Linked DNA regions of Rattus norvegicus. The protein of the gene in region 1 interacts with the protein of each later gene in a pairwise test. Links are inferred from orthologs where the notes say so. Each region holds a gene or a part of one and is shown in the gene's direction. Other genes may lie near its edges.

What was found.
Region 2: the proteins of Krtap26-1 (region 1) and Ccnjl interact in binary tests that used the Homo sapiens proteins (3 or more experiments, as listed by UniProt). The two-hybrid records come from large-scale screens. The link is inferred for Rattus norvegicus from reciprocal best matches to the Homo sapiens genes KRTAP26-1 and CCNJL.

The regions. Positions count from the first base shown.
Region 1 is NC_086029.1:41,450,755-41,453,233, reverse strand, and holds Krtap26-1 (keratin-associated protein 26-1), read left to right. Parts: upstream 1-1,285; coding exon 1,286-1,927; 3' UTR 1,928-1,979; downstream 1,980-2,479. UniProt on the Homo sapiens protein: In the hair cortex, hair keratin intermediate filaments are embedded in an interfilamentous matrix, consisting of hair keratin-associated proteins (KRTAP), which are essential for the formation of a rigid and resistant hair shaft through their extensive disulfide bond cross-linking with abundant cysteine residues of hair keratins.
Region 2 is NC_086028.1:28,552,567-28,555,377, forward strand, and holds the end of Ccnjl (cyclin-J-like protein), read left to right. Parts: intron 1-61; coding exon 62-485; 3' UTR 486-2,311; downstream 2,312-2,811.

The DNA.
Region 1 (2,479 bases):
AGACTGGATAAGTGTGGCTGTGACCATTGAACATTAAAAGAGAAGAAAGCACTGTGATTTAAATTGAATTTTTAGCCAAAGGGAATGGAATTGAGATTTTTGACAGATAATTTAAATTCCCATTAAAAATAGCCACTGGAGGTACTGGGTACGCCACTCTGTGAAAACCGCAGTGGACGGTGGAGACTGACCAGCTCCATGCATTTAAACCACATTAGTAGAGACAGAGACATGGCAGCTTTTGAAAAGCCTTCAAAGTACTCAAACCTAGCAAAAGTTTGCATACAATTCTAATGTGATTATTTATGCCAACCAATGCATGGGGTCCCTTTTGGAAATTGAGGTCACATGTGGGAAATAAACAATGCCATGTTCATTATAGTAGATTTTTTTTCTTTTTATCCGGAACAATATACTTCAGTGGTCATATGAAAACCCTGAAATATATAATCCTGCTAGATTCATGATACGTGACATTTTGTCCAACCTTTTTAATGTACTTGCTCATGTTCAATCTGGAGTCGACCATTTTAACTGAACTACATCTCATTACCTATATTCTAAACGATCACAGACAAAACACAACCTCAAATGACTGTTTATTCAACCTTAGGTTTTAATGAAGCAAGCACTCATTTTCTGAATAAACATATTTTCATGGGAAACCATTTTCTATTCAGATGTTGAAATAAAGAAAAACAGGCAGGGGTCTTTCCCAGGATGGCCTTTAAAAGTCTTTTGATCCTAAAAGTTGTAAGAATTTTTTTAAAAAAGAAATCTTCTTTTGCAAACGTCTTGCTTTATAGGATATCTTTTTGCCCATGTTACAAAGAGAATAGAATTATTTCTCAGTTAGTTATGTGTAGTTCACCACTATTCAAAGTAGTTTGCTTCAAATTTCAAAGACGGCTCCAAGAGGGATTCTTAAGAAAACTATTTGTGCGCTGGTGGTTAGAACTGTAGTGAGTCCACAGCCTTCCAAAGTATCTGTTTGGGCTGGATAAATTTACCAGGGGCCCTATTAAAACCCAGGCACACTGATTTATGGTTATAGTCAATCGATGGGAGGCATTTCGGGGATCATCCAGTTTTATGGGAGGTAGGAGCGCTACTTCCTGGGTATGAGAGCGTTCAGATGCGGCCTCAGACAACAAGGAAGATGAGTCTGCAGACAGAACTGCCACTCTCTGAGAATATATAAAGGGACAAGACGAATGGGGTGTCACACTCACACCTGACGTGCTCCCAGCCGCTCTTAGACCACCACCACCCTCTCCAGTTCACTATGGCTAACCGTAACAACTGCTCCAGCAGCTGCACCTCTGGATCCCTCAGGAATTCCTGCCACATCCCAGCCAGCTCCAACATTGCCCTCTGCTCTACAAACATGGGCTGCGGAGAGGTCTTCTGCGTCCCCAGCAACTGTCAAGACCACACCTGGTTCATGGACAACTGCCCAGAGACCTTTGCAGAACCTATCAGTGGCCAGCCACCCAGCCGCGAGGCCAGCGGCTTTGAAAACTCTTGTTGCTCTTCTGCATATTGTGTGCCCAGACCCTGTCATGGATCTGGCTATCTTCCCACGACTTCCTTCATCTCTGGATCTTGCCTCCCAGCATCCTACAGGCCCGTGAGCTATGTATCTAGCAGTTGCCGGCCAGTGAGTCCTTTCATGAACAGCTGCCGTCCTGTAAGCTGTGGATCTGGTGGCTACCGCCCACTCCCTTGTGTATCCAATAGCTGCCGACCCGTGGGCATCGTCACTTATGGATGTAGGCCTTCAGGTTGTGTGACCTATGGCCCTCAGACCATTCACATTGTGTCAAACAGCCTGAGACCTCTGCAGCCTGTCTGCGGTGGTTGCCAACCGGCGATCCCTGTGTTTGGCAGTTGTCGTCCATCTTGCTCTGCACAAGGAGGCCAGTAGCCTCCTTGTTCTAGTGAACAGCAATGACGAAGATCCAGGATAAAACTTGCAACTCTCTGGATGTTCACTTCTTTCCAGTTAGCATCTGCTTTTCCTTGTTTGCACCGTGTCTCTGTTAATGCAAACTGTTCCTTTCACACTGTGACTTGCTTTTATCTTTCCCTTGAAAAATCTTGGCCCCTATTGCCACTCATGTTGCTTAGGTGGGAAGATAATCTACCTGATATGATCTGCACTATAATAAACGAGATTAATCCAGAATTAAGAATCTAGTGCATTGAGTTTTCTTTCCTGACTTCATTTGCTAGGGGACACTGCACTGTCAGGTATATGCTACCTGACATGGGGACAATGGTTTATTATTTAGGAGTGTAATGGCCTCAGAAAAATATGGGGGACCAAATCATGACCTTTCTCAAAGTTATGGTCAAAAGGAGAGCTCAACACTAAACCTCTTACCTCTGACTTCTATTGCACACACCTCCACCAGAATATTCTCTAATTGCAAACCAGGCAATAGGCTCCTGTGTGAACCTAGGTTGTTTCCTTTGA
Region 2 (2,811 bases), on another chromosome or scaffold:
GTTAAGTAGGTGTCTAGTGACCTTTGATCTCCAAAACTCACTTGAGCCTTTTCCTTTTTAGAGCATATGACAATGTCCTCAAGGATGCCGTTGCAGTCAAGAGCCAGGCACTGGCCATGGTGCCCAGCTCATCATCAGCTCCCACCCAAGTGCTGTTCCAACCACCCACCTACCCTTCTCTCAGCCAGCCACCGCCAACAACACTAGCCCAGTTCCAGAGTCCAGCGCAGGACTTGTGCTTGGCATATCGGGACTCGTTGCAGGCCCACCGCTCAGGGACCCTGCTCTCAGGAGACACTGGTCCATCCCTCCACACGCCATACCCAACCCTTCAGCCCTTGGATATGTGTCCTGTGCCCGTTCCTGCATCCCTTAGCATGCAGATGGCCATAGCAGCTGAACCCAGGCACTGCCTTACTGCCACCTACGGAAGCAGCTACTTCAGCGGGAGCCATATGTTCCCCACAGGCTGTTTTGACAGCTAGGCCACAATTGGACCATAGGGAGAATCCTGGAAGACCCGACCAAGGAAGTAAATACCTAAGAAGAGAACTAGTCCAGGTGAGGCAAAGAACCTAGTATCTTTCAATAGAGAGGGTCTGTGCTTTTTTTTAAAAAAAGAAGAAACCAACAAAACAAAACATCCAGGGACATATCTCACCCAACAGGGTCTCTCTGGGAAACCTCTTTCATGTGTGCTTGGAGGACAAAGACATGGCTCTGTGACCATTCCCTTGAGCTGGGGGATCCAATGGAGCGTATCAGACTGGAATTTGAGGACTGCATACAGATCAGTACTACATCTGGGCTTCTCAAAGACTACTTTTCACAGCTATGCCACTGAAAAAGAAGGGGCACCTGGCACGTTTGTCTATGTCCCTAGAAGATCCATCCTGAGTGTTCTTCACTCCCTAGCTCTGCTCCATGGGCCCCATGGCCAGTGTTTATGCCGAGCACTGACCCCACGGGGCCCAGTGAGCAGCTATCTTGCCCTCTGTATTTGAACCCCCGATCTTTTCATTCTTCTAGATATTCCACATGCTGCTGCTTCCTGGAACAATCTAGCTTTCTATCCTGCAAAAAATCATCTTGTTTACATACCGTGTCAGGGATTTTTGTGATACTTGAAAATTCCGTAGGAGCAAAAAGTTTTAATTGCCTCACTGTCTGTCCCACACGAGGCTGTATCTTTTATTAACCCAACTCGGGACCAACTGGTGGATAACAACAGCGAGGATGAGGATGCCACCCCTCCCCGTCTGGAAGAGTCCACCCCTGGGATGCTAGTGTTCTCCTGTTGGACTTGGATTACTGCCCCCTGGTGGGGGAATGTTGTTGAGAGGAAGACAAAGGTTTGAACTGGTCCTCACTTCCCTCCACCACATGCTCATAGTTCTTAAACCGATCCCAGCTTTGAGTTTGGCCGATAATTAATCATGCTGTGGACTGTTATAAAAGTGGGGGGACTAATGGGGTATGTGACACCAGCATGGATAGGCAAGAGACTGCTGGAGCAAAAGCCCATGTCTGGGATCTGCAGTGCAAGGGCTCAGGAACACCGTCACCGTGTGCAATATGTTATGATTGTGACTCACAGCCTGTGCTTAAGATGTTCTTGTGCTTGCGGTCTTTTTTTTTTTTGTTGTTATTGCTGTTGTTGTTTTCTGGTCAGGGGATTTGTTGTTCACCCATCAGAATTGGAAGGGAGGTGCAAAAGACCACAGAAACAAAAATTGTAATTTTGTTTCAGTTGGTTTTTGTTTTCTTTTACTTTGCCAGGAGATTTTTTTTTTTTTTTGAGATGATCAGATGTAGCTAAGGCTACCCTCAAACTTAGTGCATAGCCAAAGCTGGCCTTGAACTCCTGATCCTCCTGCTTTAGCCTCCCATGTTTGCCACCACACCTAGTCTCCCGGCTTTGACACATTTTCTGATCCAAGAGACCCTAGCAGGGACTGCCGGGAAGGTGGCCACATGCTACTGAGTCGGATTTAACAGTGACAGGGCTTTTCTAAGCAGATGAATGTCTCATGGAAACAGAACAAGGAAAGAGCTGGAGGCTGTCATTTTCTCTATTAGCATAGGAACCTGCACATTCGTTTGTTATTTGTATGTGTGTGTGTGTATGTTTTGGCTCCTCCCCCTCCACCTCCTCCACCAGCCTCTGTATTTATATGCAACTGATTTGGAGTCTGTTATATCTGTCTATTCTGGGCTGGGGCTTTTGAGAGAAGTATCTCCACGGGAGCCCCAGAACTAGCCTGATTCTCAGGATCAGATGTCCTTCAATAAACACATCACCTGCTCTTGGTCTCCGCTGCCTTTGTCTGGACATGTCTTAGCAGGTCAACCCTCCCCCACCTCTCTACTCAACCTCAGTGAGAGTCTCCTTTGGGTGAGAGGTAAGAGAGATCAAGAGGTTTGTGAGCTTTCTCATGTCTGTGACAAAATGACCCAATAAAGCAACCTACAGGAGAAAAATGTTTATTTTAGCTCATGGTTTGACATGCAGTCCGCCGTGGCAGAGAAGCCATGGTGCAGGGCAAGTGGAGTTTGTGATAGCTGTGGTTTGTGATAGCAGAAGGTTGTTTGCTCATGTCTCCATGGATCAGGAGCAGAAATGGAATGGGGAGTAGAGCCAGGCAGTCATTGTCAAGGCCGGGTCCCTAGAGATCTACTCCCTCCAGCTAGGTCCCAAGTACAGAAGGTTCCACAACCTCCCAAGACAAGACCACCAGCTGAGGACCAAGTGTTTGAACACACGAGCCTGTGAGGGACCTTTTACAAGATTTGGAGCTGTCAGCAGCAAGA